3 linked regions of the Tribolium castaneum genome follow. The protein of the gene in region 1 purifies or fractionates together with the protein of each later gene. This does not show direct contact. Links are inferred from orthologs where the notes say so. Each region holds a gene or a part of one and is shown in the gene's direction. Other genes may lie near its edges.

Region 1 (3,758 bases):
CACATGAATGTGCAAAATGGAATTGCGAAAATAGTGATGTGCGACCAAAAAACACGGTACTTTCGTTACATTTAACAAAAAATAGGTAAAAACGGTATTTTGAACAGAAATTCCTTGTCAATTTCAATGATGGACCACCTAATCAACAACATCAGTGAAACATCAGCTGATAAGAGCACCAGAGTGATAATAATAGGTGCCGAAGGCCCCATTTTCTCAGCCGGACACAACTTAAAAGAACTGGTAGTATTCACAATTTAATTGCGTTAAATGACCCCAAATTTAGTCTCCAGAGCATGGCAAAGCCCAACAAAACAAAGTTTTCTCTCTTGCTGCAACTCTAATGACCAAAATCATCGATTGCCCCGTTCCTGTGATAGCCCGAGTCGATGGTCTCGCTGCGGCCGCCGGTTGCCAACTCGTCGCCCAGTGCGATTTGGCCTTTTGTACCGAAAAAAGCACCTTTTCAACACCTGGGTACTTCCCCTAAACCAACCAACTCGAAATAATACCATTTTTCAGCGCTAATTTTGGCATTTTTTGCTCAACCCCGGGCATAGCCCTGGCCCGGACTGTCCCCAAAACCACCGCCCTGAAAATGCTTCTGACCGGACAACCAATTTCGAGTCACGAAGCCGAAATGAGGGGCTTAATCACCAAAGTTTGCAGCGACCTTGATGGGGAGATTGCTGCCGTTTGTGGGGCTATTATGGGCAAAAGCCGGTCGGTGATTGAACTGGGGAAACGGTTTTATTACGAACAGGTCAATGCCGAGGTGAAAAAAGCCTACGAAATGGGGGGGCGCAAAATGGTCGAGAATTTGCAAATTGAGGATGGGCAAGAGGGCATCCGCAGCTTCATCGAGAAACGGAAGCCCCAATGGACGCATTAGTGTTGGTTGTTTGGGTCAAATAAAGTTGTTTTGAACGATTTGGTTTCAATTCGCGCCTTAATTTGAACGTGACAGCTCGGCGAAACGGCACGTGATTGGTCAAGCCGTACATTTTTCGCCGATTGTCATTTGTTTTTTTGTCCAGTTTAGCGAAAGGTGCCGGGGTTTAATGGTCATTTCAAAAATTTCTAATTAGTTTAGAAAGTGATTAAAATGAGTGGCCTTTTAAAGATACAAACGATTTTTCCGAAACATATTTTGACGAATGTCGCAAAGGTAGGCGTTTTTTTGGCCAAATAATCACGTGTTACATAATACAGTTGGTGGAAATGTTTTGAGTTTTTCTGGATTAAATCGAGTCACCATCGACGGTTTCTAACCTTTAAAAATAATTAATTCTAACCTAATTGTTCCAGAACCCGAAGGTTCTGGCGCAAGGGTTGCACATCGGCGTCGACAAGAAAAATGCCAAGGTTAGCAGTGACGCCGTCTCGAAGGTGTACCCCATTGTGGACCACACGTACGACGCTGTGGTCGTGGGGGCCGGGGGCGCCGGCTTGCGGGCGGCGTTCGGGCTCGTGGCCGAGGGCTTCAAGACCGCGGTGGTGACCAAACTGTTCCCCACCAGGAGCCACACGGTGGCGGCCCAAGGGGGCATCAACGCGGCGCTAGGTAAGTGGAGATTCCCATTGCCCCGGCCTTGACCCGTCTGGGGCTCAAAGAGCAACAAGTGATAAGTTATCTGGGGGAATTTTCTGCTATTATTTCGCGACCATGTGACAGGTAATATGGAGGAGGACAACTGGCAGTGGCACATGTACGACACGGTCAAGGGCTCCGATTGGTTGGGGGACCAGGACGCCATTCACTACATGACGCGGGAAGCCCCCAAGGCGGTCATCGAACTCGAAAATTACGGAATGCCGTTCTCGCGCACTTCCGAGGGGAAAATCTATCAGAGGGCTTTTGGGGGGCAGAGTCTTAAGTTTGGGAAAGGGGGGCAGGCCCATAGATGTTGTTGCGTGGCTGATAGAACCGGGCACAGCCTGCTTCATACGCTCTATGGACAGTCATTGCGCTACGATTGCAATTATTTTATCGAATATTTTGCGTTGGATTTGATTATGGAGGACGGGGAATGCCGAGGAGTCATTGCTTTGTGTCTTGAAGACGGCACAATTCACCGGATCCGGGCCAAAAACACCGTAAGTCCGCTTAAAAATTTTGGAGTTTTAGCTTAATTAGCTTCAAAAATGACGGATTTTTTCTTACACCCTTTTATGGGTGGAATATCCAAAAAGGCCCAGATTCATCTTTAACCGAACACCTAAATACCATAATCGTATAAGAATACGACCCTGACGAACCCTAAATGCAACCCAATATACAATTCTCATAAATAACTAGATCTAACATCTAATAAATTATATTTTTCCAATACGTAATTTGGACATCCTTGACGTTATCGAATTGTGACAAGATAAATAATTTATTTTTGAACGTCAATTACAGTATGTATCTTTGAAAAATCAAGATGTGTACACGGTGTTTCACGTAACTTTACGCTGCCTGCGTCGGTTAAATGCAACTAACAATACTTTATTCGTTACGAAATCGATTAAAGAAGTTATTTTTTTTTGTTGTGTTCTATAGTTCGTACACCCGTCCGTGTTATCGATATGGAATAAAAGTTTAGAAACAAGTTAAAATAAATTGAAAAATTATTTTAATTTGTTATAGTTTTTTATTGTTTGTTAAATAATGTTTATAAAATTATTTTTGTCGTCATTTACACAATAATGCATTGTTGTTCCATTCTAAACATAAACTATAGCCGTCATTCCATACCATAAGTTTGGTTCAAGAATTAAAAGAAAGGGACTATACGACAAGAATCCAGTTTTGGAGAAGAATAGATTGAAATCTAATTTTTTAAATAATCTACTATTTAGTGATGAGTCAAAATTTTCTAAAAATGGTGCTGTCACTAGACTCAGTTTTTACTAATATGCATTAGATGGATTTTGAATTGTTTTTTCTTGTTTTACCACTAAGTAGGTGCGACATGTAATATGAAAAGCACTATTTTAACAATTCATAGGTAATAAAGTTTGAAAAATAATTAATAATTTTCTGACAATCGGAAATATTATAGTGATGTCCAAAGCTAAAACTGATTAAATCGATTTGATCTAGGTATTAACGATAATTGTATAATTGGTTGCGTTTCAAGTTCGTCAGGGTTGTACTATTATAAGTCACCCTTGGATAATTGTAAAAAAATACAGATTTTTAACCCTTATTTAGTGCCTCCCCTCTTGAGGGTGGAATTAAAAAAAAATCTCCATTTCTTGCCGATAGCCTAGATACCAGTTTTCATGAATATAACTTCAAAAATGACGGATTTTAATTCAAAATTTTAACACATCATTTAACTTCGTCAGACGATGATTTTCCAAAATAATTGTTATAATGTAATTAATTTTAAAATAATCGATTATCTTTTAATTGAATTGATATGTAGAGGAAAGGGTTTAAATGTGGACTTAAAGACGCTACAAATGACATCTTATTGCATTAATTCTTCGTAGCTGCCCATTTACTCTTTCAATATGGACTATAGAAAAAAAATAAATAAATAAAAAAAATGTTGAAAAGCTGCTATGGCCTTTGGTAAAACTTTGTCTCCCCATAAAAATACCCTTATTGAACAAATAAAAGGAAAATTGAAAAAGAAATAAAAAACTAAAAACTAGATACCTAAAGGAAAGAAAAGAATTTAAAAAAAAATAGAAAACAAAGACTTCTGACCATAAAGTGATTGACGGTGAAGGTGAAGAGGATTCAGACAGTAAAATAAGCACAA
Region 2 (2,803 bases), on another chromosome or scaffold:
GGAGTCGTTATACTGCTCGTAGGTTTTGAGTTCGTCGAGTCCTAGGACTTCCTTTACTTTCAGACTGCACGCTCTGGCGGCTTGCTTGAGCTTGTGTTGGTGCTGGAGGACCCACTTGCAGGCGCACTGGAAAAAATACATTTTGAATTGCTCTGGAACAATGAATTGATTCACGGCCGATGTTTGTTTCTATTCAATTAAAAATTGCAGCTTTAACCTTGTTTTAACCAAAATTAATAATTTATGACTCGGTAAACAAAGTAGTCGAAATGAATCTCTCCTTATTTCTATTGTGATTTTTATGCATTTCGAAGGTGTGAATTCGACGTTGTTTCCTGCTGAAGTTATTGTTTCAATTTTCCTAATCAAAATTCAGTCGTCTTTTTAATATTTATTCGGCCGACGATTCTATTACCGATTTTGGAGATTCGCAAATTTCCTACACGTGGAGCAGCACTTTTTGAGCATTTTTATTAGTGCTGGAGCAACAAACATGTTGTGAACATAGCGCAATAACAAGATGTTTTTGTCTTGCATTCTAAGACAAAACAATTCGGTTGCGTCAGTTTTTATAAAAAATATCTAAATGGATCAAAAAATTTCTAGCAAAAATCGCTTCTAGAAGTGTGTTGAAATTCAACAATTGCAACATTGTTGTTTGGCAAATTTTGAGTTGAAAGTTTATCACCAAAAACTAGCTTTGTCCAGTTTCTCACTTCAAGACGTATTGATAAGAAGAAAAACCAATATTTTCCTATTGTTAAAGACTCAGAAGTAAACTGTTCGGAAACAAACAAAAAAGAAAAAATACCTGTTTGCTTGTAATGACTGACATCTTCTTCCTTAAGAATCACAACAAAACACGAACGAACACTCACTTGGAGATATTTGTAATAATAATACGTTGGGAATACTGCTCGCGTTAAATCGAAATATTGTTAGTTTGAAGTTTGTCGCTCAACTGGTGTATTGTAAGCTTGAACGCATGAATATTAAATACATAAATTAATACTTATCGCCGGCTATTTTATAAACGGGAGTAAATTTAGGAGAAAAGAATTAACGTCTTATCTTTCGCAATATAATAATAGAGCTACAGATGACGCAAGAAGAATCTCGAACAAGAACTCTCGTAAAAATAAAAACATTGATGGTGAACCATTGAAGTCAATCATTATTGTCGTGTCGAAATATGATAATGAAAGATCATGACCTTAACAAAACTTTTATGTTATCGGTGTTATTATTAGGCATTCTTTCCTTCTGGGCGATTTAAACCAGTATCAAAAACTGATGAGACTCAACTAATTAGGAGTTATCCAGATTCTACGTCGTCTAATCCAAAAGAAAATCTAGCTTTTGAGCAAATTAAATAAAAATAAGAGTGTACACAACTAGTTACATCTATCAAAATTAAAAATATTCAACCCATTCAGTCGATTGAATAAAAATTTAAATTCTGAATTCGCGCCAAAGTTACGTCATTCATTTAACTTTGACAGATGACATAACCGGTGAGAAGTTTTTGCTTTTTTTTTGCCCAAATTAATCAAAATCTTTGATAGGTTACTCTTTTTAAGCTCCCTGTCATGAATTCCTTTAAACTGGTTAACAATTATTGCTTCTTGGTAAGCATTAGAAGTCCTTACTGTGACATGTGTGACATAACCACAAATTTCGTTTCCAGAGGCCCACATTTCGACTTTTTTTTGCAAATCGAAATGCCACCACAGTAATTGACCCTCCAGACAGCCCCGATATTAAGATCCCCACACCTAAAGTTCGTGACAATGAGCCTCTGGAACAGAGGCGGGCCAGGTGGCTGTTTTACCTTTTAGTGTCATTATTTTATGTTAAATTTTAGGCTTTTGTATCAGTCTCGTAAAAGAGGGATGCTCGAAAATGATCTCTTATTAAGTACTTTTGTAGCTAAATATTTGAACACTTTTACTGAAAGCCAGTTGGAGCAGTATGACAAGTAAAGACAAGCCTTAAAGAAAAAACAATAGGACTAAAATGAATTTTTAGGCTTATAAATGGTCCTTCAAACGATTGGGATATTTATTATTGGGCCACTGAGATAAAGGAGACTCCAAAGGAGTATCAACATGAGATTATGACGCTGTTGAAGGAACATTGCAAGAATTTGAATAGGGAGTCAAGGATTAGACAACCTGATCTCTAAATGTGTATTATTTGTTTTTTGTTGTAACGTTGTGTAAATAAATAAATAAATTAATAAATTATACGAGTGTTTTTCTGAAATGATGCATCTTTCCCTTCTTTTGCAAAATTTATTTTGACGGCTGCAGTTACCATTTTTTAGTTTACATAATTAAAGAAAATACGATTTCCAAAAAAAAGGTATTCTTGAGACGTAAATAACTCGTACCGTTACTAAATTCAAATTTGGTGGCTTCTTGTACTCTATTATGTAATGGTTCGGTGTATATTTGGTTGCCTATAATAAAAGAAGTTCAAAATCTTATGCAATTTTATGGGATCATAAAATACAATACGTCTTACTACTTTGGTGTAAAATTTAGTTAATTGACGGTTAATTGTTTTCAATTTTTTGCAAAACTGTCCCAAAAGCCATATTGTTTGTCTTGCGATTAGTGGAAGCTGTTCCGGCAATTATGTAATTACGCCTTAATGGAATTACGCATCTGAACTCATGTCTTTGAATTAATTACACTAATTAGAATTTTTACGCCCAGTGGAATGCAACAATGAATTGCTTTAATCACTGATTGAATTATTAATTTTGCTCAATGTGGGTGAAAGGGTATCATTCCTCTCA
Region 3 (3,589 bases), on another chromosome or scaffold:
ATTTTATGGATGATGTTGGGTTTGTTCTCAATACAACCGATTCGACCATTACCACAGACCTTCTCTTGGTATTTGGACCGATTTTGCTGAAGCAAGTGGCCAGGCGGCGGTTCAACGCCAACGAAATGAATTTGAGTCGACAAATCAAACAGTTATGGACCAACTTTATAATGTTTGGGTATTTCCCCCAACATGAATAGTCCAAAGTCTAGGAAAAAATTTCAGGGAGCCGACACTAAACAATCAGGTCAGATCGTGGCGAAAATACACCTCGGGGGACTATTATATCGAAAATTTTGGGCCGGTTAATTCCCACATAAATGAAGAAAATAAAAAACGCGTCCAGAGGGTTTTGTTCTGGAACCAGCTCGTGCCAAAAATGGCCAATATTAAGAATAATTTATCGAATAACATCCCGCGGGAGCTACAAAATAGTCCAGGTAATAACTAATTCACAAAGTTGCATTTTATTTGGTAAGTTCTAGACCCGGCTGCAGGTTTCCGGCATGCAATGTACACTTTGGTGGCTCTTGTGATCGCCCTGCTCGCTTTGCTCCTAATTTGCATTGTTTTATTGAAAAAGCGATCGAGGGAGCGGGAAAATCATCTTCATATGGGATATTAAAAATAAGTTGCAAACCAGTTTTCAATTAACTAAATATATTTAGATGTCTCATCACTTGTGATACGTTTTTGGGCGACAAGACAGGACTATTAAGTTTTTTTAATTCTATTTATAAATGTCAGCGGAATCAGGTAGACGGGAAAATATGTACATATCGGTGCTTAACAAACGCATTTATAAATATATTTCGACTGTAGATGTGTCGTTACAACAATTTTATTGTTTTTGTCATCACCTTTGTAAAAATAGTGTCCAAAAATAATTATCTTGTGACCTTCACTGTACATACTTATCTAGTTTGTTATTGGCCATTTATGTACAATGACATATAGATTCCACCAATGGCGAGCACAGCCCCTTATTTAAATCAAAACGCCTATTTTTGTAAATAGTTATTAAAAATATTAAATGTGTACTAAAAATAAAAACTAATAGATATTTATCTGTCCCGTTTAGTTTGTTTTAAAATAAAATCCCGCATTCTTAACCTAGAAACCTAATTAGCACAGGTGGAAAAAGTATAAATATGTGTATAAAAAATACAGTTTTTTGCGTAAGAAAATCGAAAAATCGTTTTTATTACCTTCCCTTTACCAAAAATCAAAATCAATGCTTTTTTCCTAGAGTTATGGGAAAAACCTAACCTAGATCAATATAAAATAACTTAAGGAGTGTGTTTTGCTTAATTATCCCACAAATTGGCCGAAAGTTGCGTCACTGAGCAATTTCTCGCTCCGTCTTTTTTTATGGACAATTATTTCAGATAAAACATTCAGACATTTGGACTTTGTGCATTCGTGCTGTTCCCCAATTAGATAAATACCAGTGATAAGTGTGCAGTGCCTTTATTGCGAAAACCAAACAATGTCTTCCCTCTGGAACTCTCTTTTAAAAGTCCCGACTCAGATAAAACAATTCTCCGTAACTTTTTTACAAATTCGCAAAAAACATGACATAACCTCAATCATTTTCAGGTTCCGGTGCGTTATTTGAACCTGTTGGAGTACCAAAGCAAGCACCTTTTGCGCAAAAATGGGGTGGCTGTGCAAGACTTTTGCATGGTTGATGATAAGGGATGCTCCGAGTTCGATAAATTTAGTAAAAGTGTTAATAAAAGTTGGGGTTATGTCACTGTTTAATTTTTTGCAGATGTGAAAGAATACGTAATAAAGGCACAAATTCTGGCGGGTGGTCGCGGCAAAGGCCACTTTACCAATGGTTTTAAAGGCGGGGTTCATGTCACTGAGAAGTAAAATTTTTTTTGTGGTTTTGTCAAAATTGAGCGTTTGTTTCAGACGCAATGAAGTCGACGATATCGTCAAAAAAATGCTCGGCCACAGGCTTATCACGAAGCAGACGCCCAAGGACGGCATCGAGGTGAAAAAAATCATGATTGCCGAAAGTGTGAACATTCAGAGGGAGACCTACGTTTGCATTTTAATGGACAGGCAGAAGAACGGGCCTGTCTTAATTGCGTCCCCCGCAGGCGGCGTGGACATCGAAGCCGTGGCTGAGAAGACGCCCCATTTGATCAAAAACATCCCCATTGATATTCACAAGGGGGTGACCGATAGTATGGCCAATGAGGTGGCCGAGTTCCTGGAGTTCAAGGGGCCCCTCAAGGGTTTGGCCGCAGCCGAGCTGAAAAAACTGTGGCAGTTCTTCCTCGCCGTCGATGCCACTCAGCTCGAAATCAACCCTTTGGTCGAAACGGACAACAATAAAGTGATCGCAGTGGATGCGAAAATCAATTTCGACGACAACGCGCAGTTCCGCCAAAAGGACATCTTCGCGTTGGAGGACGTCACCGAGAGCGACCCCCGCGAGGTCGAAGCGGCGAAATACAACCTGAACTACATCGGGATGACAGGAAACATCGGCTGTTTGGTCAACGGCGCCGGTTTGGCCATGGCCACCATGGACATCATCAAGCTGCATGGGGGCGACCCCGCCAACTTCCTCGACGTCGGGGGCAGCGTCCGCGAGGAGCAGGTCAAAGCCGCGTTCAATATTCTCACGTCTGATAAGAACGTTAAATGTATTTTGGTCAACGTTTTCGGCGGGATCGTGAATTGCGCGACGATTGCCAATGGAATCGTGGGTGCAATGAAGGCGATGAAGCTTGAAGTGCCTTTGATTGTCAGACTGGAAGGCACGAATGCGGCGGAGGCCCGGAGAATTATCAAGGATTCAGGCATGAATATCCAAACAGCTGAAAATCTCGACGATGCCGCCAAAAAAGCGGTGCAGAATGCCTAACGTGTTTTTGTTGATAAAGTGTTAATTTGTTGATATTGCTCATTAGTCAACAGCACAAAAAACTGTTCAAATGACCAATGTTTTCATTACTTCGTTTTGATATTGTATTTTCGGTTAATAAAAATTTCTCATATACTATTCGTTTTTCATTACACCATTATATCCCAGATAATAGTTTTAAAGTATTCAAAATTTTTTTTCTTCAAATGGCACCCTATTACGATAATTTTTTTGATAAAAGATTATGCTCTAAAATACTAAAAGTACTAATACTTACTAAAAAGAATTTCGAAAATTTATTTTTGAAAAAACTCGTTCCATACTTTTGCCCACCTCTGTATTTAAGGCAGTCAGGTAAGGTAATGTGAATATAACTATAAAATTTGAAGTTTGCTTGATAAAAGTTATGTACTTTTGTGAGAAAATTTTACGGTACTGTTTTTTTATTGCTTTTTCGATTAATCAAGTTTTTTAAAACAATTTTCAGTATTCCTTCATCTTATATCCTAGTTTAAGTCATTAAAAAAAATACAGCACCCTTGTTCCTTGGACAAATCGCAATCATTTTTTAAAATCGTATTTGGGCATTTGAAAAAGTAAGCTTAGATCTTTTTTTTAGTGTTTTAAAATGTTGAATTATTTTGGTACTTTCAATACTTACCTTGAATTTTATTTCTGGTGCTTTAGATATTATTTTTAGATCTT

What was found.
Region 2: the proteins of succinate dehydrogenase [ubiquinone] flavoprotein subunit, mitochondrial (region 1) and succinate dehydrogenase assembly factor 2-A, mitochondrial purify together in Homo sapiens (co-immunoprecipitation; 3 studies listed by BioGRID and IntAct, counting the BioPlex papers as one, with this or other methods). This does not show direct contact. The link is inferred for Tribolium castaneum from reciprocal best matches to the Homo sapiens genes SDHA and SDHAF2.
Region 3: the proteins of succinate dehydrogenase [ubiquinone] flavoprotein subunit, mitochondrial (region 1) and ScsbetaG fractionate together in Homo sapiens (co-fractionation; 3 studies listed by BioGRID, with this or other methods). This does not show direct contact. The link is inferred for Tribolium castaneum from reciprocal best matches to the Homo sapiens genes SDHA and SUCLG2.

What each region holds. Positions count from the first base shown.
Region 1 is NC_087399.1:7,962,024-7,965,781, reverse strand, and holds the start of succinate dehydrogenase [ubiquinone] flavoprotein subunit, mitochondrial, read left to right. Parts: upstream 1-974; 5' UTR 975-1,105; coding exon 1,106-1,168; intron 1,169-1,308; coding exon 1,309-1,564; intron 1,565-1,675; coding exon 1,676-2,097; intron 2,098-3,758. Other genes in the region: enoyl-CoA hydratase domain-containing protein 3, mitochondrial, read left to right, coding at 1-56, 108-243, 287-477, 523-892. UniProt on the Homo sapiens protein: Flavoprotein (FP) subunit of succinate dehydrogenase (SDH) that is involved in complex II of the mitochondrial electron transport chain and is responsible for transferring electrons from succinate to ubiquinone (coenzyme Q).
Region 2 is NC_087397.1:3,194,765-3,197,567, reverse strand, and holds succinate dehydrogenase assembly factor 2-A, mitochondrial, read left to right. Parts: upstream 1-1,373; 5' UTR 1,374-1,514; intron 1,515-1,565; 5' UTR 1,566-1,589; coding exon 1,590-1,628; intron 1,629-1,687; coding exon 1,688-1,818; intron 1,819-1,864; coding exon 1,865-1,978; intron 1,979-2,028; coding exon 2,029-2,185; 3' UTR 2,186-2,246; downstream 2,247-2,803. Other genes in the region: Bcat (branched-chain-amino-acid aminotransferase, cytosolic), read right to left, coding at 1-126, 812-835.
Region 3 is NC_087403.1:5,255,796-5,259,384, forward strand, and holds ScsbetaG (succinate--CoA ligase [GDP-forming] subunit beta, mitochondrial), read left to right. Parts: upstream 1-1,279; 5' UTR 1,280-1,489; coding exon 1,490-1,546; intron 1,547-1,599; coding exon 1,600-1,723; intron 1,724-1,774; coding exon 1,775-1,874; intron 1,875-1,920; coding exon 1,921-2,884; 3' UTR 2,885-3,019; downstream 3,020-3,589. Other genes in the region: pyrethroid hydrolase Ces2a, read left to right, coding at 1-178, 226-440, 486-625. UniProt on the Homo sapiens protein: GTP-specific succinyl-CoA synthetase functions in the citric acid cycle (TCA), coupling the hydrolysis of succinyl-CoA to the synthesis of GTP and thus represents the only step of substrate-level phosphorylation in the TCA.